Styela clava: one gene and its partners. The protein of the gene in region 2 binds, or shares a complex with, the protein of the main gene of each other region. Links are inferred from orthologs where the notes say so. Each region holds a gene or a part of one and is shown on either strand. Other genes may lie near its edges. The genes, in order: eukaryotic translation initiation factor 3 subunit E-like, eukaryotic translation initiation factor 3 subunit B-like, eukaryotic translation initiation factor 3 subunit I-like and eukaryotic translation initiation factor 3 subunit G-like.

Region 1 (8,180 bases), on a different chromosome or scaffold from region 2:
GCACTCTAAAAATAGCCTTGAAAATTTTGCAATGGTAAAGTTTAGGAAGAATTTTTCGGGGGTCAAAGGTCCATTCTCACGGGATTCCTATCATTCAACACGATGCACCATACCGCTAAGCAATTTTGAAATACGGTCTTTTTTGCTTCGCATTTTTCGATCAGGCCAAATCTTGCAAGCTATTATGTAGTCCACAATTGTAGAGCTACAATTTGTTGGCATCTTTATATTACCGGATTATTGATTTAAAAACCATTTAAACCGATTTTCATTAGTGAGCAATTGCATGTTTTCGGCAAGCAAAATTGAATTCGCTCGCGTGCATTTCTACGAAGCGCTAGCGCCTTCGGGCTTCACCTGCCTTGAAATCCAGTCTGGTATAATAGGGCAATACCTTTTAAATCAATTCAGGATTAATTAAATCCATTTGTGGCACAATTCTCTTGAATGAAATGTCTGTACTGATGAATAATGTTATATAATTTGTTTTTAGAAAATGCAACTTTTTTTGCAAGCAGAACAGCTTCATTGTGTTGAGGTCGATGGCCATGAAACTGTCGCCACACTCAAACATTTGATTGCCCTTAGAGAAGGCATATCAGTTGATGATCAGGTTGGTACGATTTCTTCTCCAATTTAACTAAATTTATGATTTTTTGTCACTTCTTACTGAGCTTTTGCTAATTTCCTTGCGTTTTGAAGTCGGAGAAGTAGTGGCCATAATACAACTGCTTTTAACATATTTCCAGATTCTAAGCTGTGGAGGACGAATTATTGAAGATGAACTATCTATTAACGATTCCAATCTTCAGAATCTGTGTACCCTTGATGTCTCGTCAAGGCTTCTTGGAGGTATGCCTCGAATTGAACTTAAGATTTAATATATAGATACATTTATGATCAAATATATAGAAGTCATGATATCATGTATTTTTTAGGCAAGGTCCACGGATCCTTGGCCAGAGCTGGAAAAGTGAAAGGTCAGACCCCAAAGGTAAGATTCAAAAGTTTGTATCTTATTTTGTGAATTATTTCATATATTCAGCTTAATAATATATTACATCGCTGCAGGTGGACAAGCAAGAAAAGAAGAAACAGAAAACTGGACGGGCTAAGAGGAGGATGCAATATAACAGGCGTTTTGTCAATGTAGTACCAACATTTGGCAGAAGGCGTGGACCTAATTCCAATTCTTAAGTGGTATATTCCATATTGTAATAAAATGGTGTGATCCATTTCAATATATTGTTGTATTTCATTTATGTAATGTAGAGGTATACGATCAGAAACAGTTATTCTAGACAAGGTTTGATTAAGTATCCAAATTTCGCAAGTTGTTTTAGAATGCAACATAGACTGAAGAATATGTTTTAAATTGTCCACAGAACATATCAGTTTGTTCCTTTCAGATGAATATGTTAGAATTCAGGAGTATTAAATTGCGAAAACTATTTTGGGATGTTGATTTGTACAGTCTTTTTTTCAATGCAATATTTAGAGACAAGGTACTTTTTAATACATCCCTCGGTCCACATGAGTGTTTCATCCGGCCCACTTCCGCCTGTTATAAATTAAGACTATAGTTTTTACGGATACAAATTTCTCATGCAATAAATACCTATTGCATTATATACATCAGTGAAATGAGCAGGCAGGAAGGAGATTGTTATCGACGCTAGTTAAACTGTTTTTCATGAACCTTGGGGGCCCAGTAACCAAGTTTATTACTTGTAAGTGGCCCACTTAAGAGAGTGATTGGCCCATAAGATTCTCGAGGCTGGTCTCTTAGTGTGTTAATCAATCCTGCTTTTGAGATACAATGGCAACTAATTGGTGGGAAATAGTGACCTAATTAAATAAGTGAGAATAAATATTATATTAGTAGAGACATTATGCTATTTACACTAATTCTTGATGATTCTGCGGTAAAAAAAATAGTCTGGACAAAATTTTATCATTCTTCCTGTCTCCATCAATGTCCTGTAGGGAATTCCATTCCTGACTTTCTTTATTGAAATACTATAGAGACAGTTTACCACTTAGGTAATTTTTATAGCAAAGATACATGTTTATGAAGCTTCAAGTATATTCTTGGTTTCATAAAACTGTACAATTAAGTGTCCTTGGTTAATGGTGCACAATTGTTCTTAGTAAAATGCAGCGGAGTGTTGATATTGACTTGAAGAACATTTATGAATGAAATGAGCTGCACAGATGTTCTTCATAGATGCTTTGCCTATTTGAGAAAATTCATTATATAACATAGGGAAGTATCAATAGCACCTGCATGTCCGAACAGTGCCCACATGTAAATGTATTTAAGTGTTTCATAAATCATAATCTTGATTCACTCTAAATGTTAAGAAACTTCTCCCTTCGAAATATCATTCATCTTATGATAATGCACTCCTTTTGCCTCAAGCTGAGACTCAGACCATATTAGAAGCTTTATTAATTTTGTTAGGCAAGGTACAGATTCTTTGTTTTCATATTCCATAATTGCAGCATTGACACGACTCCAAACTTTGTGCCTTTGTGCAGGGCATAAAAGGTCCAAAAATGGCGACTCTTCAGGCTTTTCAAAAGCCAGCAAAGCCAAAGCTCTTTCCATATCGACAAGGCATTCTGGACTTTCTTCACCACGTTCACTTAAACTTGTTTGGGCAAATTCCAACGCTTCTTCCGTTTTGTGTTCACGTATGAGTTCAATTAACTGCTGAAGCTGCAGATAGAAAAGTAACACTCTGTCATCATCTAAAAGCTCAGGGTGCAGATCATTGATGAGTGAGATTGCTTCTGATATACACCCTTTCAATATTGCATCTCGAACTTTAATTCGACCTTCGATTCCTTTCAGGCATTCCGAAGCACTTATACCTGCTTCAATTTCGAATTTCTCTGCAGCCTCTTTGTATCCTTCTGTTACCAAATAGTCCATGATTAACCTGTTCATAATAGCAGATTCAATGTGCATATTTTCCATCTCTTCAACCCATTTTTCTTTATCGTTCTGTGGAGATTTCTCTTCTTGCATTGTCACATCCATTTTTTATTTATGTAATTAATGCAAACTGTTTTTTCATCTGGAATACATTGAGAAATCACTGACTAGATGAGTTTTTACATTAGTCGAAATTAATATTTAGAATAAATCAGCATTTGAAAATTATATATATATTTTTTAAATATCGATATAATAGTCATTCATACAACCATTGTCTAATTGTTGACAAACTTTAGTTGAAGTTTTACATATTTTGATATAAAAATTATTGATGTTCAAAAATTATGATTATACACAACTGGTTTACATCAGCATGAATCTCTCATAGTCATACTGTCATAGCTTCTAATTTATTGCGTTATTCATTTTAGCAAACATGCATTCATTAAAACGAATGTCAGATTTTAGGGAATTTCATTGAAATCAATAGACTACGGTATCGAAGATTAGTTAGGACTGATATAAACTAAATACCAGTATCATTTCAGTCTTAGACAATAAACCTGCTGTATACTCAGATACTGATACAGCTAGCTTCGAAGTGAAAAACTTCTTTTCAACAGCAGTAGAGTAGTTTGGGGATTGTTACCTTGAGTTGTTGGGGAAAGAATTTGAATTAGGTAAGTAGAAATTTGCGACAAACAGAAAAAAGTAAATTCTGAAATATGGCGGTCTAACATCATTAATTATGTAATTAGAGTCATTAGACCAACGCTTAAATAGTTTTTCGCTGTGGGAATTCTGCAAGAAATCGATTTACGGAAACAAAAATACTGCCTATCGGGAAAGAGTGCATAATTTGATGCTAGGCGGTTACAATCAAAGTGACAGACTAATGAATGACTATATTCACTTCGGTTACAATCAAAGTATTTGTGATGTTTCTATGACCCTTGACCCCTTGATCTTGATTTTTGACTACTGCATTATTTATTTGCGTTATTGCTGTCTACAAACAAATGAATATAGGATAAAACAAATAATAATAATGAAAAATCATCCTTATATACCGAATTAGCCATTTGAAGTAGACAAAATATGTCTTTGGCCACAAAGGATGCGTTGACAAGGCATGCTTGAACCCTAGTGACGTCATTCAACACCATCACTCGAACACTCGCGTGGCTATAATACAGGAAAAGGAGAATTTGTGTGCTTTATTTCAGGGGTACCCACCGTATGATTGTTTACTTCTCGTTTAAATGAATAGATCAATATTATAAAATTAGAAGTATCCTAAAGTTCATTTGTACGATCTGCATGCAAGTTGCGTTACTAGTGATTTGCTCAAATTTGAGAAAGTTTAGATGTTTGCAGGCTTGTGAAAATGATTTGGATATTCCGACAGCTGAGATCACGGACTAAAATTAGACATTTCGGAAAAGGGAAATGAGTGTAATTCTTTCTAAAAAGATAATCAATTAGTTAAATTAAAATATAGTCCACTTGAAAAAATCAATTAGGAAACTAAAACGGTTCAATTTTTCTTTATGTTATATAGGTATAGTTATTCCAATTAAATTTAAAATGGCTGAATATGATCTCACATCAAAAATTGGTTGTTATTTGGATCGCCACTTGGTGTTTCCATTATTGGAATTTTTATCTGAACGAGACATATTTGATGAAAGGGATTTGCACAAAGGAAAAATTGATCTTCTGAGCAACACAAACATGGTGGATTTCGCAGTGGATGTTTATAAAACTTTGTATCCTGGCGAGGCAAGTATAGCATCTGATAGCTTTCAATTTGGGTCTAGTGTAGTTTCCAACATGAGTACTTCTAGTGGGTGTAACAATTTTAGCTTATGTCCATCTAACCCACACTTGATTGTGTCATCCAAAAATTATGTCACCACGATGTATTAAGGCCCTTTAAACTATACGAACTGTAATCCAAGATGCGCAGATGTTCTCCGATCACTTGTTTTTTCGCCGCAACGATCTTAGTGAGTTCTTTTTCGTCGGCGCAGATGCCATTTCATCGGTTGGAGGCGTGAAGTGATTGTGACATGATATTGATGTCATTTTTTGGATTGTGTAGTCAAATAGGGGTTGGTATTTGATATACGTACATTTGTGCTCTATTTAATGATGCTCTTATTTTTAAGGAGGCTCCTGCTCATCTAACAGAGAAAAGATTAGAAGTTGTCGGCTTATTAAAATCTCATACTACAAAAACTATGCCTATCGTTGAGATTTTCAATAACCCGGAAGTCAGTAAACAGGTTGGTGCTGCTTATTATTGGATTCAAATGACTGATATTTTATACTAATGCTGATAACAACATACAAATCAATACTTTCTGTCCAGAATATTCATTTAATGTAGAAAATATGAGCATTTTACCATATAGTTCCAGTTCGTGAGTATTTTGCTCTTTTAAAAAGTTTCGGCTAGTACTTGTTTGATGAACAGTTCAACTGAATGATAAAGCTGCATTTCTCAACATTCTCTGATTTTACAGGTCGAAACTGTCAGAGACGGAAAACAACTTTTTGAATATCTGGAAACAAACCATGCATTTAGGCTCGAAGACTTAGATTCTTTATATGATTATGCCAAGTTCCAGTATGAATGTGGTAACTATTCAGGTATGACTATAGAGATTTTAATAGTCAAAGTTGGTTGTTCAATCCATTTGGTACCTGAATTCTATTAATATTATTTTCAGGTGCTGCTGAATACCTATATTTTCATAGAGTTCTTGTAAGTCCGACAGATAAACATGCGATGGATACTTTGTGGGGGAAACTGGCTAGTGAAATATTGATGCAGAATTGGGATACAGCTTGGGAAGATTTGCATAGATTGCGAGAAACAATAGATGCAAACACAATAGCTACTCCTCTGCAGGTTTCACTCATTAGTTATTTGCTAGTTTCACTCATCTTTATATCAATATTATATTTATATGTATATATTGGATAAGATGTTTAATAATAGAGTTGGAAATTTTAGAGTTGGAGGCTATTTTTTCTTAGCATGACCTCATTTATGTAAAAACATGCTCAGAGCTGTGGAAGTCTGGTGGCAGCAAATTCGTCTGCATGTGACAGTTGGGCTCAAAGACCCATAAAATACAGAGCTGATAGTCAAATATATAGATTTATCAATAATATGGATTCTAGTTTTGAGAACATTTTTTGAATATATTTTAAATGTACCTCAAAGTTTAATTTATTAATTTCTGTGGATTTACAGACTTTGGTATTTTAAATTTTAAAACATATGTTTTGTTTCAGCTACTCCAGCAGAGGACATGGCTGATCCATTGGTCTTTGTTTGTATTTTTCAATCATGCTAAGGGCAAAGATGAAATCATTGAACTTTTTCTCTATCAACTACCTTACTTAAATGCTATTCAAACCATGTGTCCCTGGATACTTCGTTATCTCACAACAGCAGTTATCACAAGTAAAAGGAGAAGACAGGTGAGCAATTAATATTTGATTGTAAAGTAATAGGTAGTTTTAGGTAAATAAATAATCTATAATATTTTTGACTTTTTCTAGAAAGCCCCCGCCAAAAAAAAACACTCCCCCTCTGCTCAAATTAAAAAAATTAGTGTCTAGATATTTTTTATTTAATGATGGATTCCAGCACTGAATTTATCGAAGTCGGGGTTATCGACAGCGAATGCTCAATCTGCAGTACTTAAAATGTGGCGGTGGTGTTTTCCAAATCTTACATTTTTGCATTAGTGCAAAAGATCCAACAGTTAGCAGTTAGGTTAAACAAACTTCGTCTTCTAGGTTTTGAAAGATCTTGTTCGTGTAATTCAACAAGAGACCTACACATACCGTGACCCAGTCACTGAATTTATTGAATGTCTTTACATTCATTTTGATTTTGATCGTGCTCAAGAAAAACTGAGGGAATGTGAGACTGTATTGGCAAACGATTTCTTCCTCATTGCTTGTCTTGATGAGTTCATAGAAAATGCAAGATTGTTCATTTTCGAAACATTTTGCCGTATTCATCAGGTATATAATTCATGTTATTTATTATTTGGCTTCCCCATATTAATTGCTCTAACACTATTATTAATGAGTATTAAAAGAGTCTGGCTGTACTGAACAGTGGTGTTTAGAGTAAAATGTAAAGTTTTTAAGAGTTAAGGAGTTTTAACTATTGTCATACTTAAAGACTATTACTAGTTCCTAGCTTATGTGATAAACATGAACTCAATTGATTCTTGAAGTCCCAGTCATTATCTTGTGCTAATATCTGATGGTTGGTTTTTTTCATTTTTTGGATACGTAGAATCAATATAAATTTTTTCTTCCTACGCAGTGCATTAGCATTGATATGCTGGCAGAGAAACTCAACATGAGTTCGGAAGATGCAGAGAGATGGATTGTGAATCTAATCAGAAATGCTCACTTGGATGCTAAAATAGACTCCAAACTGGGCCATGTCATGATGGGAACACAAGCAGTGTCACCATATGAGCAGGTTCAAAATTATGTTAAATGCAAGAATTCTTCTATTAGTTATGTGTAAACGTATTGATAAATTCATTGTTTTATTTGCATATTAAAATGAATAAACACTATATTGATACTAATTTCAACAAGTGGTTGGGACTCCTTACAGACACAATCGGTGTTTTCAATTGCCCAATAAACCCGACATTCTTGTTACCAGGTTATAGAGAAAACTAAGAATTTGGCTTTTCGAAGTCAAATGCTCTCTACCAATGTAGAGAGAAGACTGACAAAGGAAAAAAGTTCCAATGAAAGTGCAGTAAGTGATTATTGAATATCAATCTAGTTTCGTTTTTATTGGGAGCATGTAATCGATGCAGCAATTCCATGCTGGGATACTTTATAGGAAACAAATTGACACTTCTTAATCCTCATTGAAATAATCTCTCAATTATCCAAATTCTTGAACTTGGATATTTAAAATCGAATAAATAGATACCTGTTTCTAGCATGATAATTTTAACTCGCCTGATGCAAAATTTGGTCAAATAGTTCAAGCTCCAATTAAAAGAAATTTAACTCAATTACATGACAAAGACGGTAATTACATATTAGTATTTTATTTCTAAGAGAATTCCCGCTAGCTCATGATCCCAGGTTTCTAAACTTACGTTTTCGATCTCGAACGAGGCTCAGTTATGTGCGAGAGGTTTGAGTCTTTGCTATCTCAAGATGCCTCATATAA
Region 2 (7,864 bases):
CGCAAAGTATCATAATTCTTCAAGAAATGCTAATGAAAATGTTCCACAAAGTGGAATTTGGGCACGAATTCGTAATGTGGCTTCTCCAATTTCTTCACCTGGAAACGAAAACGTTTCGTTACTTCAACAAGAAGTAATTGCTCATGAAGAATTAAGCAGACAGCTGTTTCTAGAAACTGTTGATTTACATGCCACGAAGGAACGGATTAAATATTCAAAAACTTTCAAGGGAATGTACTTCAATGTTTTAGGTTACTTCTTCTCTCTGTATTGCATGTGGAAAATATTCATGTGTATTATTAATATTATTTTTAACAGAGTTGGTAAAAAGGACCCAATAACGAAGGGATTTGAAATATTAGTTCATTATCTCGGCTTTGATGTCGACGTGTCATTCTGGAGTCAACACGTTTCTTTTATATTAGTTGGTATTATGATAGTCACATCAATTAGGGGTCTTCTTATAACCCTTACAAAGTTTTTCTATGCGATTTCGAGCAGTAAATCTTCAAATGTGATTGTTATGGGGCTTGCTCAAATCATGGGAATGTATTTTGTTTCTTCTGTTTTACTAATGAGAATGAATATGCCTGCTTCATATCGAGAAATCATAACTCAGGTTTTGGGGGAACTCCAATTTCAATTCTATCATAGGTGGTTTGATGTTATTTTTCTTATTAGTGCCCTTAGCAGTATAGGATTTTTGTATCTTGCGCATAAGCAAGCTCCTGAAAAACATATAGTTCAAGATGTCAAACTATCATTATCATTTAATGACTGATCTTACAGAACTGTGTTTTGCTTGTAAGAAAGAATTAGATTGAATTTAAACATTAGTATTGAAGGTCTAAGTTTATCTTTTGAGGATTATGGCCTAAGTAGATTTTAATAAAACAGTATACCAGTGGAATATACTGCCATAATATGGATATACTAACAAAGTAACAATAAAAAGTAGAATTCATAATTATAAGTTAATGCAAATGTATTAGCGCAGACATGTAAATTCTTCCATGATTTTTGTAAAGCATGTCTGAAATGATTTGTTTTCATGTTCTTTTCTTTTAAAGATAGCATAATGTTTCTCAATATTGTGAGTATATAAGATGAGAGTGAACCGAAGCTATGATTGAATCTGAAAATGATGAATTGAATTTCATTGAAGGCGACAATGCTGCGTTACAAATAATCAATGATGAAGGAACATTACGTTTTCTTACTTCGGACTACATAAATGAGAATAATAATATTGATGAAGAGGCCAAGGAAAAGGATATAAAAGAATTGACTGATGCTAATATAGAAAAGCTTCGTTCTCGCTACTCTGAAGTTTTGGAGAAAGTAAAACCCACAGCGGACCCTGCAAATGCTTTCAATATGTTAGAAAAGGTCCAAGGTGGTAAATCAAGTGATTATAGCATATTGACTAAAACTATAAACTCTTTGGTGAAAGAAATTGGAATCCATGATTTACAAGATTTTAGAATCGAGGATATTGTGTTGCTTGTTTTGGACATGTTCACAGCATTGCGACAATACATACATGAATTTAACGTGCAGCATATAATTCGACGGCGTGTAAAATCGGCTATTACCGCAAACAAACAACGCAACAAAGATCAGCTCAAGTTTGGTAATATGGAAGCATATTTAAGTGATCTTTACAAATTGTATCCTGAAGTTGGGACTTTAGCTTCTGGTCGATGGTTGACCAGTGCTGAACGTCCATACAAAGACACTGTATTAGATATAGTTGAAGCAATTGGTATTAAAGATGCACATGATACAAGGATTTCTCATGCTGTCACATTAGCAATGGATCAATATCCTGTTTTGAGAGACCAAATAACTAATCCAAATTTACGGAAACAGTTTTTATCTAGAATCAAGAGAAGCTTTTCGAATAAATCCAAAACAAAAGTTAAAAGATCGTCCAATGACGAAATATGCCAGGTGAGCAGTGAGCATTGTAACAGAATTTATGTAGAATGGCCGCCTTTGATAATGTATAGCTTCGCTCTTGTCAATAACACAAATTATTGCGTGCTTGCCGTATAGCTTGATAATGTGAATCTTATATTTCTATATGAGCCACATTCAAGTAGCAGAAAAACTTAATGTTAATATTGTTTCATTGCTTGGTAATATGAATCTTATATTTCTATATGAGCCACATCCAAGTAGCAGAAAGACTTAATGTTAATTTTGTTTCACTTTTTTTTTTTATTCATAACTGCTTCTGTTCTCAGAATGAAGATATGTTTGATCAAGATAAATGTGCAGGCTCCAAGATTCCTAGGATAGAATTGGTGATTGAACAGGATGAAGAGAATGAATGTTTTCTAGACTGCGAAAAATTATAAGGAAATTCCACTGTTTTTACTGTTGACACAGAGGGTCTTGCACAAACATGTAATTCGTCCATTGCAATCACAGATAGAATATGTTATATGTGTAGCAAACTGGACGCATTCACAAGATAATGTCTGCCTATACATATTATGTGAAATGAAAATACCCCATGAAATTGAAAGATCATTTTAGTTCTTTATGCCTCAAATATTTCTATATCTTTCCAGATTTAGATAATGATGCAAACATTATTGGTTTAGTGGCAAAGTTAAATATATTTTATAGCTTAGTATATATATAAATATTCTTACTTTACTACATCTCCATGTTTTCACGAGTATTGTATCTTTTGTTGTAGTTATTTTGCCTTATTTTTGGTGTTATGCAATTTTGAATAAGTTTTCAAATATTATAAAATGAGGGTTTTATGTTGTGACCAAACTGCTGGTTTTGTGATGGACGCTTTGACACAACTGTTGGGCAGTGTTAACCCTAGACGTTTCAAATATAGCACACAACTTGTTTTTAAAAAAATATTTTTGCAAAATAATATTACTAGCTCGCGTATAAAATATGGGAGGAGAATAGCCGATGGTAATAAGAATGTGGGAATTTTGGGTTTTGCGCATCTGTATTTATAACACTAACAACTCGTTTATATAATGGACAAACAAGTTAGATCTTTATGTTATCGTAAAAAATCGTATGTCATATGAGAATTGACTAATGGTTGAAACACATCGGATTACATACATATATGCGTATCACGTGAGATAAATGAAAAATCCGCATTTGCGTGGCAAGCGGAGTTTGGCAAATCAATAACGAACAGTTGGTACTCCTGATGTACGCGCACCAAGATGTCGCATAACCTGAACTCTAACTTGGTACACAACCTGAGTTCAGGTTGTGCGCCATCTTGGTGCGCATACTTCAGGAGGTCCGAACATTTTTAGTATATATATATATTTTTTGTTTGTTTGTTGGAAGCGTTAGTCGTTGGTTGAAAGTAATATAATTACTTAGTTTTGATTGAACAATCCATATGTGCCATTTTGTTTGAATCGAACTCGTTTTTCAGTAGCCTATTGGTTATCCCACTATTTATCGAAACAGCCTCTACTGTTTTTAAAAACAGTACAGAAAATCACTCCTCGAAGAATCTTTTCTAATGATATAGGACTAGCGCGTTGTATTTGACTTCGTTTAGGTGAGTTTATAATGAAATCCTCCTTAACGGTAGATAAAAGGAAGACAAAAAACAACAGAGGCTGAAAAACTGAGGGTCCTCAACATTTGAAAGTACAGAAATCGGTGGTTTCCTAAATGTATTTTGAATCGAAACCTGAAATCACTAGATACCCTGTAGTCAATGCTACTTCATCTGAACATTCTCGATTCCAGTTTTTATGGATATAAATATATTCGTAGAAATATTTTTGAATCTGTTACAGTAGCATAGAAAAGATTAATAGAGTAAGGGTTATTGTTTCGTCAACCAGAAAACAAGCATTGAAACATTGAAAAACACTCAAAGTTGCTGGGGAGTGATACGACCATGCGGTCATCTAATTGGGTCATCAGAGTTAGTTCCCCATACCCACTATTATGTAAAAGATCCCGAGTTCCAAAGTATGTGAACGATGCATAAAAAAAGCTACTTTTTGCAAATCTGATTCGCATGCTTTCGCATCTGGGTTCTTCGGTCCTTATACGGACAGACAGTCCTTGCCAGATTTGTCCAGGGATTGAACCAAGTTCATACAGATTGATAGTTTTTCCCTTATTTGAGACATAAAAATAGCATGAAATTAATTGGCTGCTTTGTCGTCTTGAGAACTAATACGTAAACACAAAACGGTCAGAATATTTATCACAAAAGGAATATTTGGCGCTCATCTCAGTTTTGCGCCAGAGGGCGCTAAATTTCTGAGTCCAGGAGCATGTGTTTCTTGTCAGATATTCTCATGCTGCGTGGCTGCTTTTGTGGGTGGATCTTTGATTTCTAGTTTCATTGCCGTGTTTTCGCAATATTATTCATAAATTCTCATTAGGAAGTTTGTAATGTGTAATGACGCGTAATATAAATGAAATGGACGAGGAAGAGCAGTGGGAAGATGTTAAAGGAAGGAAGAGAGGACAGAAAAATCAAAATGGGGATGGATTGTCAAACGACTTTGAGAAAGAGCCAGACTTCAGCGATCCAGAGGATTATGAAGAGGATATCAGCGATGAAGGTATGGGAGTGATCCTTATTGCACAATTTGGGGGTTTTGATAATGTCAGAATGTGCTTTATTTCAGTATTTACTGCTTTTTTTTCATTTGCTAATGCCAGAATGCAGTTAAATTAACTCAAGCAGTCAGGTTTCTGCAACACGTTAACTTGCAGACTTGGTAATTCAGCCACAGGAGTGGTGACTTTTCTATGGGCCGGGGCCACGGTCCATCTAATTTGGCCACATGCTGACATGGGCCCATCAGGAAAAGTTCAATTATCTTACCAAAATTTGCAATTTTTACAAAATTGTCAATATTCGAACCGAAAAAAATTGTGAGATGCTACCAAATTTTGGGTCTGGTGAAGTACACGCCGTCAAGTACTTCTACCGGGCGTAGCATAACGATTTTTGCATACAATATTCCTAACCCTCACCTAAGTACGTCACCCAAAAATTACATCACTGCGACGTAACAATCGCGACATAGAGCTTGCTAAATTATAACTACAATCGTTCTAAATGTCATCTGTGCCGACTATAATGAACTCACTAACCCCAGCGATCTCTCTCTTATCGTTATCGTTACGGCGAGAAAACGAGAGAGTAGATTGCACAATTTCGGATGATTGTCTGCACGACCACACGTTTACTTTGGAGGGCCTTATTACGTCACTGCGACTATGCAGTGATGTAATTTTTGGATGACGTAGTCAGTGAGGGTTAGGAATGACATATGCAAAAATTGTTGAGCCAGGCCAATTACAAGTGCTTGCGGCGTGTACTTCACGAGACTCCAAATTTTTTTCTTACGATGGGCCTTTATATAAAAATAAAAATAAAGCAAAATACCAAGCAACAGGATAGAATACTCCTGTAGTATGTGTACCAGGTTAGGGTTATTACAAAATTTTGTTCATATTTTTTACATTATAGTTCTAATATGAGTTCGGGGACTGACTGTGTTAGCCAAGTGAATAGTCCCTTTACACAACTTGATGGGCCGATTCCCAATTCGATGGGTCGTGGCCCCGGCCCATACGTCGTAGAAGAGTCACCACTCCCACTCTAATTCAGGGAACTCTGCAACTGCATGAAAGTTTCTGATAGAACTGCAGAATGTTTACACTGTTCTTTTTTATTGTCATATGGCGTGGCTGTGTGGGCAACCCTAAAATGCGGGAAACGGGAAATGCACTGAAATGCGAGAACCACAGGAAATTGCCAAAACTAAAATGCAGGAATGACGGAACTATGGGAAATTTCACCGTCGTCGTGCCAGACGCCCCTCTTTTGTGAGAGACATGGAGTGTTTGTTTTATTGAACCAAATGGAGGAAAATTCTTGGAATTCGGATAGTGTGCTGTATTGACATCTAGGAGATAGTTATGTGCAAGAGGATTGCTGGACTCCTCGCCGCCGTAGGGTGGTTCACGTACTGCTGGTTGGTTATGGCTTCCTCCACCATCTAAGCCATGCTATCGAAAACAAATAACTAATCTCATACCTGACATGGAATGATAACCGGAGGCCCTCAGCTCCCTCTCCCTCCAGCCCCCGGGATAAATATGTAAATCCTATCCTATTTTTCAATATTATAAATTTTGGAATTTATTTTAAAATGTCAAACAATCCAACGTCTTCTGATGGCCTGTGTCCATGGTATCTTTTTAAAAATATTTGAATTTACGGGATGGTTTATCCACTTTGCGATCAACTTATTTTTAAGCTGCAACATTCAGAGGTTAACTTCCTATGCACACTTGAAATGAATCACTGAAATGATCTATTTGGGATCAAACAACAAATTTGCAGCCTAGCTCTGATAACCTATCTGCTGTGTTGATGCTACCAAAACTGACAGTAAAGACAAATTTGATGTATCTCGTTGGAATACCTCTTAGAATATATTATACATATATATTATATACTTTTTTATAAAATTGAGCATATATTATTTATATACAACTTATATATTCAGAATTACTGGGAGACATTCTGAGAAAGGAGCCAAAAGAAGCAGATGGATGTGAATCTGTAATTGTTGTTGACAATATACCTGTCGTTGGTGAAAGTAGACTTGAAAAACTCAAGTCTGTTTTAACAAAAATTTTCTCCAAGTTTGGACCAATCCAGTCCGAACATTTTCCACAACAGAATGGACAAACAAAAGGGTAAGTAATCGCTATGTTGATTTTAAGCAAACTTTGAAGTTCTTAATTATATACATTTTTTATTATTAAAAGAAGACATCATAAATAGGCTTATGATATGAATAGGTAAAAGCTGTTGCGATCATTTTAATGTATTCAAATTATTTTTAATTAATTTTGATCTTGGTCGTTTTCATTCTTGCATGCTCTCTTCATCCCTCTCATTTTATTGAATGAAATTCATCATTTTCTTTGTTCAGATACATATTTATTGAATACACTAGACCCGAGGATGCATTAGAAGCAGTGAAAAAGGCTGATGGATACAAGCTTGACAAAGCTCATACATTCAAAGTTAATTTATTTAATGATATAGAAAAGTATGTTATTCCATTTGTTTCAAATTACACTAGAAAATTTTGAGGCGAAATTTATGTGTCTAAATTTTTCACAGTGATGTCATTGAACCAGCGTTCTAGTTGAAATTGCAGCAACATTTATGTTACAGGTCTTAAACGGAAAATGGTTTATGGTGTTCTGAATAATTTCGATTTTTTAGAGCCAAATTTATGCTGAACGTTGATTTTGAAAACTATTTTGGATGTTAACTATGTTTTATCTGTACCTACTGTGATCTCGAAAAGTGACCTTCTCGACGTTGATAATGTATAAAATGTGATATCTATTGGTCTGATATGTTATGCCTTGAAAATTTCAGGTTTGACAACATTGAAGTTACTCAAAAATCAGCAGAAAAACAAGAATTTAAAGATATGGTATGATTTTATTTATCACTGTTTGTTGAACTTGATGATATATTTTCCATCTCCGTATTCTCCTTTTCGTGAGTATAGACTTTGTCTGTTTCCATATAAAATTTGATGTTTCCATACCTTGAAATTGCTCACTCAATTTTGTGTGTTATTTTTCTTCAGGGAAATCTCCATTATTATCTTGAAGAAGAGGATTGCAACGATCAGTTCAGTATCATATATGAGGGAGGAGATAAAACAGCAATATTTTTAAACACTCATACTGAACCAGCATTACTCGAAGAAAGAAAGGTTTGAAATTTTAATAAAGGCTAACTCTGAGCAATAAACGTTTTGTTGATAAAATTAATTTGTGTGCTTAATTACTT
Region 3 (8,874 bases), on a different chromosome or scaffold from region 2:
ACCAAGTTCGGGGCAAGACGATGACATAATATCACGTGACAAAGGCACAAGTCCTTTCCAAGAAGAAACAGAAATTACGCCAACAGTCGAGATGAAAACATTTCGCGTTCACTCAAGACCACCACAGATAAAACAGACTCCACATTATCCATTTGAAACTGGGAATAATGCAAAACAAGGAAGGGTTTTAAACAGGTGATTAGTTCAGTTTTTATCTACTTTTTCGATATATTACTTATATATATATTACTATTTTAGATCCCTTTGCCTATCCTTATCTGTGTATAAAAAGTATGTTTCGCTTATTGGACACGTCAGTTTCACGATCGTTTCAATATTATGTTGTTGTTCTTGTTAGAATTCTTCTTCTCTTTCGTCATGATGAAATCGCTTTTCTCTTCGAATACTGGACCAATTGCTTTGAAATTTTCAGTGGTTAAAGATTGATTTTTTTGCCAGAAGGCTATTATTTTTACTTATTTCAAAAATTTCTGTGGACTTTAAGAGATTCGTTTTTTATGTGTCATAATAAAAAATAGCGACACCCTGTGACGTGTCCATATATTTGAGCACAGCTCTCTTGATCATCGTATCTTGACAAAATTCTTAGCTAGTGTTACGCTTACTCGGACTCGAAATTTTGCATAGTTTGAAGGGTTTGTATGTATTCATAATTATGTATTGCAATGGTTCTACACAATTTTAGTAGAACTACACGGAATGCAAAGTAATATTTCTGGATTTCCATCCCCAAAACAATTTTTCACACCATCATCGTATATAGTGCAAAACCTTCAGTGGATACTACCAAGAAAAATCGAAAGACTACGTAAAATATATTAATGTTTCAATCCAGAAATTAAAATCGTGAAATTAGAGGCTCTGAGCCCAAAAACAAATGATAGCAAATAATGAAGTATACTGTGGTAGTGTAATAACTGATGAACATGCAAAACTGTGAATTTTTTAATTTAAAAAAATCTCACGTCAGAACGACTTATATGTTCTATTTTTTTATATGAAATTTTCACACCGAACTTTGTCGTTGCACTCATTACTTATCGATTTTAATCGGTAGGTATGTTGATGGGTATTTGTCTGTTAGATGCACGCGATATCTCATGAAAGCAAGATTGAATCTGCTCCAGATTTTGCATGTGCATTCATCTTATCTCGGACCAAAAGCCTATTGATTTTGGGCGATTTATGTCGTATAATTAGCGAGTTATTAATTAATTAGTGATGGGACACAAGGTGTCACTATGGAGTGAGAGCGCTGTTTTGGGGGTTCTCCTAAGTTTGATCGATAAGTCTTCGGTCTTTGACCGATATTCTCGTTTTTTTCTTTCTTCCAAGCCCACCTTTAATTTTACATGTGCCTTTTATCTGGTTTATACATTTTTTTAAAGCAACTTATCAATTTCTAATTTTATTTTCAGATCGACCATACACAACGGCTTACTACGGAGCAATCGTCTTCAAGATTATTCCTACCCTTCCGTCGTAAGCAGCACGCAACAGCTTCTCTGCTTAACTCCTAGTAGGGGTGGAGTTATTACCCTTGGATCAGACGACGATGTGAATAGGGTTGCCAGACTGAACGAGAACAATCCCGTTACATTGCCAGCGAGAAAACCCGCTGATCACGACAACGGAACACCTGTTCCTCTCGCCACTACAATAGTCACAAAAACATCTGGCAACGATAAACAACAACACGGAAGCAACTTTTATAGACTCATGCAAAAGAGCAATTCTCCAAGACCACGCACGTCAACCGCACATGGGCACCCATTTTCACTAGCCAATATACATTACAAACACACTACTCAAATACGTAAACCATACAGATATCCAGCTCTTTCGCCGAGTGCAGTGAATGCAAGAAAAACTGACGGCACGGTTTCTAGAACACCGGTATTCGAGCGCAATGCAACTGCAATGAGCATGGCTAAAAGTCCAGCAAATACTACATTTAAAATCATCGAAAACCACGTCAGATGGAATCGCAGGCTACCGGTATTTAATCCAGATGATGCTCCCAATGTATATCCATACCAGCCATGTTTCACAATACACGATCCCGGAGCTCAATCGCGTAAGATGGCGCCTGTACTTCGGGTTATTCCTGCGTTTCCACAAACTTCGAAGATCCAGCAACAAAGAAGGGTCAAGGTCGCCAAATCACCTGTTGATACAGAGGGTGCGTCACAAAAGAAAGTTCGTTTTACGGACCAATTCGGGCTTCCCCTCGTTCGAAATGCCACACCTAATTACAGGAGAAAACATTCGTACATTTTAAGATGGCTGGAAACTGCAGGCAGACCGGCCAAAACGATTCCTTTAGTGTGATCTGTATATATGTATGATTTCTCACTTTTCCTCGCAGTTTTATTATAGTATAATATCTTTTGATTCGACTTTGCACTTAGTACCGTGTCACCTCGAAAATAATCTGAATTTTAAAATTGATTTCAATATAAGCCCTCCCCTTAAAATAAGACCTAGTTGATGACAAGAAATCTTTCCTACACGTTTTAAATGATTAATATATATATTTGAAAATCTGGTAATTCCCTACTTTGTAATTTTGTTTTATGATAAATGAAAATAACCCCCCCCCCCCCACACCAATTAAAAGAAAGCCTAGTGCTATTTTTTAAACGAAAATTGGAATGAGTCTCTGTCTCATTTTCGGGGAAACACGATGCTTAGTAATGACATGAGGTCAACTGTGACAAAAATTGTACACAACAATTATATTTGATCTGTATAATGCGACCAACAACTTTGCCAATATGAAATTGTGAAGCTGCATCAAAGCATATGCTTAGGAGATTTTCAGATATCAATATCGTATACTGTACCACAAAGTCGTTCTTTTTCCTACAAAGATTTCATTTGATATTCCATACCTTTAATTACTAGAAGTTGGAGACATATTATTAACAATATTTTATTGAGCACTGCGAACAATAGTACGCAATTGTGCCTTTTCTGATTGAAAATTCTATTTAACGGTATTGATTTGTTTAAGTATATATCATGTCTCGAAGGCAGCACGGTCTGTATGTTGAATGGCAACCTTAACATAAAAATATATTAACAAATATCCATTGAATCCTATTTATAATTATATTTGCCTAACTACTTTAAGGTGCGGAGATAAGTATTATAATAAAGCACCCTAGCACTAAAAAAATAATTGTTTCTTGATTGCGTTAATCTTATGAGTCAGGACTGGGAAGTGCTACTATTCCTATGAAAATGTCTAAAGAGTCCTAAAGCAGCTCAGGTCAATACTGTACAATTTAATTCGGAATAATTCTTCATAATGCATTTAAATACCTTTATTGCATAGAATGTTTTGAAAGCTTTGTATTTAATACGGGTATTTGAGTATTCCGGTTTGGAATCTTAACCCTCTCCGGGCCCCTTTATCTTTTAGCAGTGGGAAAATTTGATATTTGGGGAAAGCAATACTTTTAGGTCATATATGATTAATTTTTGAAAATTTTCGACAGTCCGATTCCCTGGGGGATTTACTGGATGTTGCGCTAGTGCAACTTCTGCCCAGAAAGGACTAATTCTAAAATATCACATGTATGTTGTTCAATCTGCAATACCTTATAACATGACCGGTATGTATACCACAATGGTTGAAAATATAAATGGTATTGTCAAACTTATTTCATGGCTCATTTCAAAACTACAATTATGATTAAAAGTCGCAATAAAATGTAAACAAATGTTAATATAGATCATGTTTTTGCACTCTTGGTAGTTTCTCAAGTCAAAATATTTAGAAAATGCATATGAGTTGTCCCTTGACACTTTCATTTACCTATATTTTTTAAATTATTCGAAAACTTTGATTTTCCATATATATCAATGCAAGAATATAGAAAATCAAGCGTTTACATTGAAATAATTTTGCATTTACTTGCTGTAATGTATTTTATCGGAGAAAGAATTTTTAGCGTGAAAGTCATTTTGATTACGCTACGCAGCGAAAAAATAGGAAACCAAATTTTTTGGTAGCAGAAAAATCGTTAGCAATCTGTGTGTTTATTTACAGGTTTACGATTTCGATATTTTTGGACGGTTTGTTTCCTCTTTTTACTTCAGACTCTCGTTTGAATTTATCGACCGACCCTGCCCCCAGTCTAAAAGACGGCCAGTCGTAGTTTTCTGCAGCATTTGTGTTCAGGCCAATTCTATACCAATTAATATAGATTGGTTTATGAGTAGATTGCAACACCTTTATGGTGTTGTCAAAAATTCGGGGCAGAGAAAAACTGTGCTCTCCCGAACATCGAATTAGCTTTTATGTTTATCTGGCTGAACGGCGACGCACTCGGACTTTCAAAACACGACTAAGTTTTAACTCTAGATTCGTTTTTAGATAGCTATTGTCTGTCCACATAAATTCCAACAGTCAAAATGCTGAAATGGTCTGATTTTTTAGGCTCAAAATCTTAGCTACATAAATATCGTTCTGGAAAATTAGGTGTTTTATCAAAATCAGCGTCATCGACATATTCATAATTGTAAGTCTCAATTGCTCCTTTGTCTGAAAGTGTGGCATTAGAAATACGCGCTAATCCAACGCAATTTCTGCAAAAAATCTCCCCTCTGGCATATTTGCAATTGTTCTGCTAGATCGCTGAAAATACAAATTTGAATCAATCTGAGACACTTCTCTATCATTCTAACCCCGTATTTATGGCTAATATACCTCGATTCCATTTGTTTATAAATCTGAATCATAACACTTGTGCATACTTTATGTCACGCCTCCTAAATCTTCTGTTTACAAAAGAATTATCGGAACCCAAATTTTTTCCTATACGGCAAATTCTCATATACTGCATCCTAATGATCCTGATTGTAACTTATGTGACACAGGAAACTCATAAACTACGTTATCTGCTCAATAAGCCAATATAATTGACGAAACTATACAGATGAATCTTAGCTAATTTCACAACCGAAATCCACTTCTGAGGGAAGATGTTGCACCTATGCAACACTAATTTTAAACCACCCCTCATGAAACCACATAAATCGTTCGAGGTTGCAATCGGTTTGTAAAGCCTCTGTAAACACCATTCTTTTACCCCGTGCACAGATATGACGAATTCGGTGTATATTAATTAGTATAGTTGCTTAAAATATGACCATGGTTCACCAGCCTGACACGAGCACCGGAGACCGCATCTTGCTAAAGACGCTTGCAGCGTCATCAGGCAGCGGCAATGCAAAATAGCAGTTGCATCGAACCAACTAATTATCGCAGTAGTACGTTGAGTAGAAAAAAGCATTCTGCGGCAGAAAATGTGCGTCATAGCTAGTTTACAAGATGTTGTTGCATACGTGTTACGCATTCCCGGAGAGGGTCAAACCGGAAAATATATATCAGTTGTAAAACAAAATCGTGGGAGGAGCAAGAATTTCATTGATAATCTATCTCGTGTTTCACTATGTTCTAGAATACAAAATCCATTCAAAAAAGGGTCAAAATATATAAGATTAGTTTTGTGCTACTTGGTGGAATCCCAGTCATAACATTAGTAGTCAATTATCGGAGAGCCATAAATAAATAAATAATTTGCATCGTAACTTCAAATCCATTTTTGCTCAACAGCGCCAACTCGAGTACGCGAATTATTTCGTTGAGATCTAACTCGTGTTTAGCTCAGCTTACTGTTCGCCACATGTTGTCTTCAGCTCTGTGGCTTCTACTATCTGACAGTTCTAGTAATTATACCTACAGTTCAGCAACTGGCCCTTGAGTGCAAGCATTCGAACGGCTTCTATCGCATTTCTCTTTGTCCATAAAGTCGTCTCAGTGTGTTATTGGATTTTATTTCTGAAGATTTTCTAGCGTTTGAAATTAAGTGGACTGGGATATGGTGAGTTTTTATTATTTGTCCATCTTTCTGCCGGCCTGTGCATCATTTTTTGTTTTAGCATACTTTTAAATATCACTGTACTGTTATAGTGCAAATTTTGGGTCAGGTATTATTTAGTACCACATGCACTTCTAGATGGCCTGGCTCCACAATTTTTGCATATGTTAATCCTAACCCCCACCTGACTACGTCACCAAAAAATTCCGTCATTTGGACGTCACAGTGGCGTAATAAGACCCACCAAAGTATGGAGAGGGTCGTCCAAAACGCACAGCTGATCACCCGAAATCGAACAAGCTAGTTCTCTCGTTTTTGCGTCACAACGATCACCATAGAAGAGAGATCGTCGGCGTTAGCGAGTTCGTTATCGGCGGTGCAGATGCCATTTCGGGCGATTGTAATTATACTTTGGCAAGCCATATCACGTGATGGTGACGTCCTAGTGACGTAATTTTTGCATAGCATAGTCAGGTGGGGGTTAGGAATAACAAATGCAAAATTCATTATGCTACGCCCACTGGAAGTACTTGTGGTACCAAACTATACTAGACCCCAAATTTTTTCAATGGCTCAAGTTAATTCCAGTATCAAGTCCATGCTAATAACTGGCTAACTAATCCCATACCCGACCTGGACTGGTAACCGGACGAGAGGCCTAGGTTCGCCATATGATTAACCTTCCTAACCCGCCATTCCCTAGTCAAATTTTTAAAATATTTTTAATTAGCATTTGTCACCTAACCAATATGGCTTGAAAGGCCATTGAAGGCTTGTTTGAATCGTATTATTGTTTTCTATACGCAAGAGGTCGCTAATGGACCGCTCCATGTACGAAATTTTGCGTACGTGAGAAAATTCATCGACGATAGTAAACAAACATTCGAACCTCTCTCCTTTATGGCCGTTGAACCTTACTTATGATAACGGCACTCTCTCGCAAGCGTTATAGCCGTTTTGGTGTTTGTCTTCCTAACAAAATGATATCACAGGCAATGGTGTAGCGCAAATAGCTGCCGAGTAACGAAGCGGTATATTTGTGAAGTCAACGCAGTTCTTGTTTGTTTATTATTGTGCGGGTAATTATTAGTGCGTGTTTACGCGAGGAAAATGGGCGCTCGGCCGCGCAAATTACTTTCTTTCAAGTAATAACGTATTCCTTTGTATGTTTCTTAGCTTTCAAATATTTACAGATATAAAACTCGTAAAATTGGAAATATGCCAAAAAGGAGTGACGCACAACCCGGGTGCAAAAACAATCGGACAAGCCTATATCATGCTTGAAAAAGGCGCGAAAATGTCTTATTGGTTTTGTTTTGAGTGAAGTCCATAATAAGACGTGTACATAAAGAATGTTAACTCTTACTGACCAATCATATTAGAGCCATATTCATATTGTAGTTAGTTCGCATCCCGAAATAACAGGGTTAAGCTGTCTTATTGCCTTATCGGCTTTCTTCTCCTTCAAGATGAATAAGTCAATCTTAAGTGGGTAAACTGGCGCATGTATATTTACATATATTAAACCTTTATAGAGGTTTTGCCAGTTTTCCAATCTTCTGTGTGTTCATTGTTTGTGTTTAGTGTATGATTATTTTTGCGGGAAAATCAAAATATATATACTTATACTACTTATCCTATTCTTCACCTATACATGGTAGCTTCATTCTGAATTCCTAATTGGGCTTAACTAAAGGATATCGCCTTGACTCAACTTGATGTCAAAGTTCTTCTATAATATATTTCAGAAACCTTTAATTCTTCAAGGCCATGAGCGTGCAATCACTCAAATTAAATATAACAGAGAGGGAGATTTATTATTCACAGCAGCAAAAGATGCTTCACCTAACGTCTGGTTCACAATAAATGGTGAAAGGTAACTTGTTTATAAGTTTATTTCGACTCCATAATCAGCAGATGATAGAATAATTGATAAAAATAAAATAAGTAAAACTGATTATAGAATCGGGAGAGCAACCAAAACCTTAGGTAGGGTTTAAAGTGTACAAAATTTAGATGGAAAGGTATTGATAAAAGAAGTAGTTCATGTTTGCTCACCTCATTTAAATATTACATCATTTCGATGACATTTTTTAATCAAGTGTTTGTTACTTGTTTATGTGATGCTTGTTCACATCTTTCGTTTCGAATAAAGTCCCTATGCGGCAGCCACTGATAGCTATCGATATTTAAGAAGCTATTATTTGTGAAGGATCAGAAGCTTTTTGGCATTGCCTGCCTACCCAATTCATTACATTCTCAGTGAGACGGTTGACATGGGGTGAGATGATGTACAACGGTTTGTATACGCTTAGTTTCCTGCATTACTGAGATATTTGCCAGTGCCAGGACAACCCTATCTAAGCCTAAATGTCATATAAATCCAATTGTATTTTATTGCCTGTCTTATGTCACCTTGCGGTCAGATAATGTAAAAGCTTTTGAAATCCAATCTCACCTTGGAACTACATTCATGTGTTTTGAATTGAATTATCAGTTCAGCTAAATTCCACAAGTAGAACAGAATATATCACGACAGTGTGGCACATCGTGCTAAGCCACTGCACCTCTGATTATCCTGCGTGGTCTTGCAGGTTCGAATCCCATGTGGGGTTAGTTATGTGCGAGGATATTGCTAGACTCATCGCTCTTGTAGGGCGGTTCACGCTGTTGGTTGGTTACGGCTTTCTCTGCAATCAAGTCCATTCATTTGAAAACAAATAACTAGCTAACCAATCCCTTAACTGGACTGGTCACCGGACGGGAGCCCATGGTTCGCCATATGATTAATTTGTCTTATCGGCTTTCCTCTCCCCCTGGATAAATATGTAAATCCTATTCAAATTATTAACGATATAATTTTGCCACTCTTGAAATTTCAAATTTTGTTCTATTCTAGGTTAGGATCATATGATGGTCATCGAGGTACAGTCTGGGCAGTTGATGTGAACTGGGATTCAAC
Region 4 (7,873 bases), on a different chromosome or scaffold from region 2:
GAGAAACGAAATTCGCTGAAAGTTATTATACGTTCATCGGCGGCGAGATGCTAAATTCAAGTAAACGGGTGGATCGGCGACGCAAAGTTTTTTGATTGAAATACGAAAATATAAAATACTAATAAAAAAAAACGTAAACAATTTGTTGTAGGAGGCCCACGACAGATTAGAAACGCTTCTCTGGGCATTGTGAATCGCAAAGATAAGTTTCGACACACGGCACACATGAGTTTCGGCGGCGTTGGGAACCATAACGTCACTAAAATCGAAACACAGTCAATTGTGCGCGGAATTGACCTTGTATCCATTGCTTTAAATTGCCGTCGACAATTTTCGTGTTAATATTATATATACAAGGTTGAAACGCGACTTTTTCCCGAGTCGTGGTGATATATAAGATAATTAATCAAAGTATATTCAATCAATTTTTATTGTACCAAGATAAATCCTTGAGATTTTATAGCAGACGTGGGGATTTTTCTAACTGTTTTATCTTGAAAATAATTTGCAAGTTGCAAGTACAGCTCAGATTTGTCGAATTCGCAAAATACGGATCGAAAGTAGATATAATAAAGTTTACCACACATTTTTATGTACGCGGATTACCATGGCATTTCAGAGTAGTGATGACTTTATTTGTCGACGCAACCGCAGGTTAAATTGAATACAAGTGAATTAATAAAGCAAGACATTTTGAATATGCCCAATCGGTCATGGATTGACTAGGCTTGCACGTAATTTACGGATTTACGGAATTACGTAATTATTTGGAGTTACGGAAGGGAAGTTAAAACCAGAAGTATGCGCACCAAGATGTGTACAACCTGAATCCTAACCGGTACACACCTACTATGTTCAGGTTGTGCGCCATCTTGGTGCGCATACTTCTGGGGCACCGATTTTTCTGTTGTGCAAAGTAATCAATCCATACACGCCCATACACGCCTTCTCAAGCTTTAGTTCAATGCGTCTGCAAAAGTGGTTGGCGCAGGAAGACGCAACCGATAAGACATTGCGTGGACGACTCTACGACAAGAACCACCCTGTGAAAATTGAAATACAACCGAATAAATGAGTTAGTATAACTTTGAAAAACCTCATCACTTTAACCTTAAGAACAAAGTATGCTAAGTATACATTAAGATTAACCGAATAGTTTTGACCGTAATAATGCCTTTATTTTATGAGAAAAATGTTAATACAGAAACTCAAAATCCCTATTATGGGGTGATAACAGATTAGTTCCGACATCAGTGCATCAGAGGGGTCTTACAATTAGCATAGCCTGTCTTATCGTTTAAATCAGATTGCCGCCGATGTAAGTATATTCTTCATACCGCACCTTGTTTTGCCGAAGGCTGCCTTTGATTGAATTGATTAAATAAGTTTCATGATTTTCTTACTCATAACGCAATGTTCTGGAGTAGTTCCACGGCGATGCAAAGGGTATTTCAATAAAAAATAAAGAAAAACAAATGATTTAAAACAAGCCCTTGTTTGGAAACAGGATGTTTTTTTTAGAATTGATAAAAAACAAAACCCTAACTGTGTGCTATCAAACTTCTCCGTTATGACGTTAGCCGCCGTTATGAGGTCATAGACTTTACGAACATCCAGCCGTTCAGTGTTCAAATCATCACACCTCAATGGTTCAAATGGGCAGAGGACTTCTCATCAATCAATAAGAGTTAAAAAAAAATCATAAAACTAATACGTCAATACTTTGTATTTTGCAATTTGCTTATAATATATATATTAATATTGGAAAAATATTTGGCGGACCGGCAGCAAGGTTGCCGCGGACCGGCGGTTGAGAACCACTGCTCTATACACTTTGTACAAAAAGGCATACAAAGAAATTTTCATGGGTCAAGGGTCAGCGAAACATCCACGAAACATCTGCACGCTGTGCCTGTCGATGTCTGCATATCTGCTGCCTGTTCCTCAGGGCTGCCACTCCAGATGTTTTATAGCTAGATCTAGATGTAGAATTTGGAGTCTAGATGTTTTTCAACGTTCCTTATATTATCCAGTGGAAAATGAATAAAGCGATGTGTATAATACTGTAATATGTGAATGAATATTATTTCATTACTCAGAAGTAAGTTAAATATAGTCTATTAGTGTCAGATTTATAAAACTCATTTATATATATAATATATTGTATTTATCTAATCTACGGGTACCATAATATGTAATTAGATAATTCGAATAACGAGTTAAGCATTTTTAGGTTACGGTAGGGTGGTGTAGCCAGTCTGCGGACGATTTCATTCAAACCGCTATAAACAAAAACCAATATTTCTAACCCGTTAATTTTTTCACCGTAGGTGCATTGGCATTTATTCTACACGCTGAAATTTCTACGACCAGGGGTTAAAGCTATACAAACCACCAAAGTACGACACTCTGAAGACGTATTTGCGACCGAACGACCAGTGTGCGATCACGGATTTCAAGCCTTGAACATCGTTTCTGCTGCGTCGAGACTAGGGCATACGCAGCCATGAGTGAAAAATGGGCTTCTAATTGCATTTCTGACCGTCATATATTTTAAGAACACGGTTATTTCGAACAAAATTCTTCAAATTATGAACAAAGCACCGCATCACAGCAATCAAACAGACAAAAACACAGTGGTCGCAAATTAGTTGACAAAGATATTATTGACGTATTGGAAATGCGCACCCCCCTACTCCCCCTCCTTTAAATGTAGAAACGTGAAACTTTAAAGATGGTTAAAAGAAACACAACTCTACCCACCTGCCAAGTTTCATCTCTTTATCTCTTATATTTGTATCGATTTTCAACCTTTGTTAAAGGAACAATGGGTAGTTGGCGACATGGTAAAATGGTCAGTTTTTTTTCTTCGGTCAGGTTTTCGGTCGTAACTTTTTTATTTGTGGCCGCATTTTAGTTAGTGTAATTTCGCAGAGCTACGAGGGATAAGTGGACGATAACGCGTGAGAAATATCGTCGCGGTTCGTTAATTTTTTCGGCATTAATTTGATCGATGAAGTTGATGGTCGCAGATAGGTCATGGCCGCAAAGTGGGTAAGCCACCCTATGTGACTTTAAAAACCGGTAATTAAATCTGTAAATAGAAAGGACGATAAGTCAGTACCGGTACTTCAGTACTTAGTATTGTATTGTTGCCAATTGGTGAGAATAATTTGTGTAGTTCAGGTTGGTTACTATAGGATTTTAAAATTATAAAATTATTTTAGTGCAATTGAATTTGTCTTTCTTTACTTTTTGGTGCTGTGAACCGGTCTTACTACTTACAGACTTACTGAATACAGCGCGAAACACCACAAAGAGCGCAAAACAGAGAGAAACAGCGCAGAACAGTGGGGGAAAGAGCGCAAAACAGTGTGAAGCAGAAAAAAATTTTGCAATGAGTTCGGGGCACCTTGTTTTGAGTTGGAGTACCACGGCAGCAAATTAAAAACACAAACCAACATATGTAGCCAGTAATGCTGTAATGGCAGGTCTGCCCCTGCTGGTGACACATTTTGGGTACCATAATTTAGAACATTTTCCATATGGATATGGTTGGCGTTAAGGTTCGGTAAAAAGGGACCTCCAGAAGTATGTGCACCAAGATGGCGCACAACCTGAAAATAGTATAATAGATATTAGCTTCTTCGATATCTAATATTATGTAATACTGTAATATAATAAACTTTGAATGCTCTCGTTTCGTTGATTTTCATCAAATTTAATGACTTCAAATCTAGATGTATTCTCTAGATGTTTTATTTTTCAATCATGATGTTTTTCGAGGTCAATCTAGATGTTTTTAGTCAGGCAAAAGTGGCAGCCCTGGCGTGGTTCGCGGTAGGCCTATTGCTGGGTCATGCGAGAGGATAGCTGGGATGCTAGTCATCACATTCTTTCTTAACGATGGTCAGGACGAGTCAGTGCTACTCACTTCGGTTTGGCGGTGTGGCGCATCGTGCCGAGCGTTAGGAATACGCTCGCCACTGCACCTCCAGACCTCTGATTACCTACTGTGCATGGGTTCTCTGCGTCCTCTTTTCAGACAAATTGAGTGTTTGTTTTATGTATTGTTTTATGCGACATCTGAGATATGTACCGTACTGTGTTATATAATGTTACAGGGCACAGTTCATCGATTCGCGACATTTGGTTCAATAAAACAAACTCAATTTGTCTCTGAAGCGAGGACGTTTGGCACGACGGCCGATTCCTATATTGCGTTGAATGCTACAGTACAATTTATTCCAAATGCAGTATTGTGTACTTCTCAAGTGATTGGAGCAATCATTTACATTAATGTATATCAATTTTACATGTTTTTTTTATTTCAAATATGTTAACTTATTTAACATAAAACATAATATAAAAAAATGGAAATTGAAAGAGGGAACAACGAAAAAAGTAGCATCACAGTGTGAACATGCCGTCTGAAGATAGCAGGTAAAAGGAACTTCTATTTCTAAGACTTGCTCATGAACCTTGAACAACCATAGGTATCAAAGTCAACAAACAAACTTCGGTCTATGGCCTATGTGCCATGGAAAATATGAAGTTTCTGGTTTCTGTAATCGTAGCATATGCATGACCCAGTTCAGTATATAGTCAATGTTTTTGAGTTTATATTTATAAAATAATTACCGAAATATTACTGGACATCGGTTATTAATAAGTAACAAATAACATCTACTTTGCACTGTCCAGTGCCATGATGATGTTTTTGTTGCAGTTTTTTTTCAATTCCTAATTGATATTTTTCCATTGTGTAAATTTGTTGAAAAGTTCATTTTTATTTCCATCTCTATTGGAATTAATAATTGAAGCAAATCATATTCCAATCTTAAAAAATGTTATAGCATTGTTAACTGACTTTCATCAGAGTAGTAGCAAGTGAATACTGCTTGTTTTTTGATGATGATATTTTCCGGTTTATTATGTCTTTCATCATTTTGGAAATTAATTAGTTTAAACAAGCTTGATTGAATAGTAATAAAATAATTTTCTCAAGTAATATTGTCTGTAGTAAGAATAAAGTTTTCTTTGATAAAATAATGCATAGTAATTATGCAGCATGGCCAGTATAATTACGTGACATATCTGGTGCCTGTTCCAATGATGCAGTGGTGCCGGTAGTTTTGTCTTGGCTGTAGAAACGGATCACTTGAAATCTTGAATTTTTCATTCAAAAAGTTTTATCTTCCGTTACCCCTATTTCTGCTATGTCATATTTCAGGGATATCCATATTAGAAAATATTTTCAAATGTCATCTTTGGCAATATCAGATTGGTCATAGTTAGAAATATGATATTGATAAATTTAAAAAACATTCAGAATCATATGAAACTTTGGTTTTATTATTTAGTAAAGTGAGTTGGGCTGATGCTGCCGAACCATCGAGTTGGGCAGATCAAGTAGAAGAAGCAGAGGTACAAGAACTAGGACATGATCAACTGCCGCCTTCATCAGAAAAAAAAGATGGAAACACAAAAATTATCACAGAATACAAAATAAACGAAGATGGAAAAAAAGTTAAGGTTGGTTTTTTGTCATTATTCTGCTAAATATATTTATCAAATACATAGACTCAAACCAAAGGCATATTACTAACCATGGGAATTTTATATTGTGTATCACGAAAACATATATTATATACTATCCATGTTTGATTAATTGAGAACTTAATTTATGCCTAAATTATAAACTGTTTCCAAATCAAGTTACTTGAGGTATTATTCTAATTCCCAAGTTATATTTGCCTATCTGGTTCTTTATTAAAATTTTTTTTAAATTTGTCATTCCTTTTTGCGCTAATAATGCAGGGTTATGCAGCCAAAATAAACTTACGGTATAGTCGTAATAAATATGCTGAATAAATATAATAGTAGTGCAACAATAAAAGTATCGAAATACTGGGTTAAAATTGCGCATGAATCAATGTATTTCCCAAATGCCTCAAATTATAAAGATTTATCTAATTTGTCAGTTTTAATTTTGTTCATCCATCCAATATATCCATGCAACTTTGCTTTGAGATACAAGTTTTGAAATTTTTCATATGAAATTTCAGATTGTTCGTACCTACAAGATTGAAATCCAGAAAACATCAAAGTCAGTTGCCAGAAGAAAACATTTACCAAAATTTGGAGTATCAAAGGAGGATCCTCCCGGTCCAAATCGTGCGACCACCATTATTTCAGAAGTTAGTCATTTTACACTGTAAATTCATATATAGTTAATTATTACAAAGGAATTATTTGAGGTATAGAATGGAAAATACATCATAAGAAATTTGGGTTTCTAATCTATTCTGTTCTTCATGCAGGATGTGAACTTGCAGTTCATTAACAGTAGACAGGAGGAAATTCATGATCAAGAAGATCCTATGTTATCGAAATTTCGTAATCAACTACAATATTACATGTTTTTCAAGAATTTCAAGACAGGAAATAGGCCATGTATGATCTTGGATAAGTTTGGTTTTGTGTCGAATATTTATTAAAAATTTATCTGTATTTTTTTGTTATATCTATTGTTCAAAGATATCCTGATACATTCGTGGCACATATTTCCGCTTTGTTATAGTCTGGTTTGTAGTGATCACTGAAAGAAAAATTCAACATTGAGATTTAATCGTATTTAATTTTTCAGCTGAAAAGGAAGAGGAAGAAAAAAAAGATGAAGTCGATAGTCCAACTCAAGCGGGACCAGGAGGTGGAACTGGTGGAAAGTATGTCCCTCCAAGTTTGAGAGCTGGAGCAACAGCAAGAGGATCTTCTATGCCATCTCGGGGAGCTAGAGGTTTGCATTATGGATTTGTTAACTGAATGCTCATGAAAATATAATAGTCAAAACATTAGTGTCTATTGAGTTACTAGTTCTGTCATGTTGCAATGACAAAAACACACATTTAGGCATTTCTGTAGTAATTTTTTTTTTATTAAATTTTTGAAATACAACAATATCATCGTCTTTTGGTAAAATTCATTCAGTGATTTTGGTAAAACAAAAAAGTTACATTGCTAAAATCTGCTTGAAAATTCCACCTTGTGCTTATTTTGGTACTCCCGTAGTATGTGTACCAGGTCAGGGTTAGGCCATAATTTTTTCCTTATTTTAGTCCTATCACAAGTTTGGGGACTGTTTGTGTTAGCCAAGTGAATATACCCCTGCTCATAGGTTCCAGTCCCTTCACACAACTTGATGTAAAATAGGCGAATTTTTTATATTCATGCCTTCTTCCCAGATGAACAAGCAACAATACGGGTCACTAATCTTTCTGAAGAAACAAAGGAATCTGATTTACAAGAATTATTCAGACCGTTTGGTCCAATACAGAGAATATATCTGGCTAAAGATAAACACACTCAACAATCAAAAGTATGTTTGCAGGAACGAAGTTCTATTTTGAAATCATTATTTGGAATTACCAAGCTCAATTTTTGAATAGGCCATACCATGAAGCCTCTTAAATTTTGCATGGTGTTTCGCACTTCTGTACCAAGCTTAGGATAAGCAATCCCTAAAATATAGAAAGCTATAGGCCTGATTACATGTCCATCAAAATCAGCCCAGCGAACCGGTTCGGTTTAGAAAAGTCAAAGTAGTCTCGGAGACCACTCAGCGCCCTCGATTACATGTCCAAACCAACAAGTTGAGAACAGTTTCAGGGTTTTATGACTAAAGAAAATAAGTCATGATTTGCAAACACTGCATATACATATTTTATTTTCAATAAATTCAATACTAATGTTAAATAAAGTATCAAAATTAAATGCACGTTCTTGATTGAAGTTCTGTGAAGTTATTTGCAGAATAGGATAAGGGGTTGCTTTCTCATTGAAATTTGCCCATAATCTAAAAACAAAACGACAA

Evidence for each region.
Region 1: eukaryotic translation initiation factor 3 subunit B-like (region 2) and eukaryotic translation initiation factor 3 subunit E-like share a complex: the UniProt entries of both Caenorhabditis elegans proteins name them as parts of the eukaryotic translation initiation factor 3 (eIF-3) complex. The link is inferred for Styela clava from reciprocal best matches to the Caenorhabditis elegans genes eif-3.B and eif-3.E.
Region 3: eukaryotic translation initiation factor 3 subunit B-like (region 2) and eukaryotic translation initiation factor 3 subunit I-like share a complex: the UniProt entries of both Caenorhabditis elegans proteins name them as parts of the eukaryotic translation initiation factor 3 (eIF-3) complex. The link is inferred for Styela clava from reciprocal best matches to the Caenorhabditis elegans genes eif-3.B and eif-3.I.
Region 4: eukaryotic translation initiation factor 3 subunit B-like (region 2) and eukaryotic translation initiation factor 3 subunit G-like share a complex: the UniProt entries of both Caenorhabditis elegans proteins name them as parts of the eukaryotic translation initiation factor 3 (eIF-3) complex. The link is inferred for Styela clava from reciprocal best matches to the Caenorhabditis elegans genes eif-3.B and eif-3.G.

Annotation. Positions count from the first base shown.
Region 1 is NC_135257.1:13,247,955-13,256,134, reverse strand, and holds the start of eukaryotic translation initiation factor 3 subunit E-like, read left to right. Parts: upstream 1-4,504; 5' UTR 4,505-4,531; coding exon 4,532-4,726; intron 4,727-5,115; coding exon 5,116-5,232; intron 5,233-5,472; coding exon 5,473-5,599; intron 5,600-5,679; coding exon 5,680-5,861; intron 5,862-6,250; coding exon 6,251-6,439; intron 6,440-6,760; coding exon 6,761-6,991; intron 6,992-7,301; coding exon 7,302-7,463; intron 7,464-7,655; coding exon 7,656-7,754; intron 7,755-8,180. Other genes in the region: ubiquitin-like FUBI-ribosomal protein eS30 fusion protein, read left to right, coding at 497-613, 750-852, 939-994, 1,072-1,197; glucose-induced degradation protein 8 homolog, read right to left, coding at 2,360-3,046. UniProt on the Caenorhabditis elegans protein: Component of the eukaryotic translation initiation factor 3 (eIF-3) complex, which is involved in protein synthesis of a specialized repertoire of mRNAs and, together with other initiation factors, stimulates binding of mRNA and methionyl-tRNAi to the 40S ribosome.
Region 2 is NC_135262.1:9,898,766-9,906,629, forward strand, and holds the start of eukaryotic translation initiation factor 3 subunit B-like, read left to right. Parts: upstream 1-4,281; 5' UTR 4,282-4,423; coding exon 4,424-4,589; intron 4,590-6,551; coding exon 6,552-6,744; intron 6,745-6,983; coding exon 6,984-7,103; intron 7,104-7,441; coding exon 7,442-7,499; intron 7,500-7,658; coding exon 7,659-7,787; intron 7,788-7,864. Other genes in the region: Golgi pH regulator-like, read left to right, coding at 1-781; uncharacterized protein LOC120333244, read left to right, coding at 1,126-1,953, 2,250-2,363. UniProt on the Caenorhabditis elegans protein: RNA-binding component of the eukaryotic translation initiation factor 3 (eIF-3) complex, which is involved in protein synthesis of a specialized repertoire of mRNAs and, together with other initiation factors, stimulates binding of mRNA and methionyl-tRNAi to the 40S ribosome.
Region 3 is NC_135257.1:18,325,877-18,334,750, reverse strand, and holds the start of eukaryotic translation initiation factor 3 subunit I-like, read left to right. Parts: upstream 1-5,686; 5' UTR 5,687-5,912; coding exon 5,913-5,915; intron 5,916-7,660; coding exon 7,661-7,788; intron 7,789-8,811; coding exon 8,812-8,874. Other genes in the region: uncharacterized protein LOC120346396, read left to right, coding at 1-195, 1,440-2,352. UniProt on the Caenorhabditis elegans protein: Component of the eukaryotic translation initiation factor 3 (eIF-3) complex, which is involved in protein synthesis of a specialized repertoire of mRNAs and, together with other initiation factors, stimulates binding of mRNA and methionyl-tRNAi to the 40S ribosome.
Region 4 is NC_135254.1:23,798,373-23,806,245, reverse strand, and holds the start of eukaryotic translation initiation factor 3 subunit G-like, read left to right. Parts: upstream 1-4,288; 5' UTR 4,289-4,423; coding exon 4,424-4,443; intron 4,444-5,363; coding exon 5,364-5,535; intron 5,536-6,068; coding exon 6,069-6,200; intron 6,201-6,323; coding exon 6,324-6,456; intron 6,457-6,649; coding exon 6,650-6,799; intron 6,800-7,244; coding exon 7,245-7,378; intron 7,379-7,873. UniProt on the Caenorhabditis elegans protein: RNA-binding component of the eukaryotic translation initiation factor 3 (eIF-3) complex, which is involved in protein synthesis of a specialized repertoire of mRNAs and, together with other initiation factors, stimulates binding of mRNA and methionyl-tRNAi to the 40S ribosome.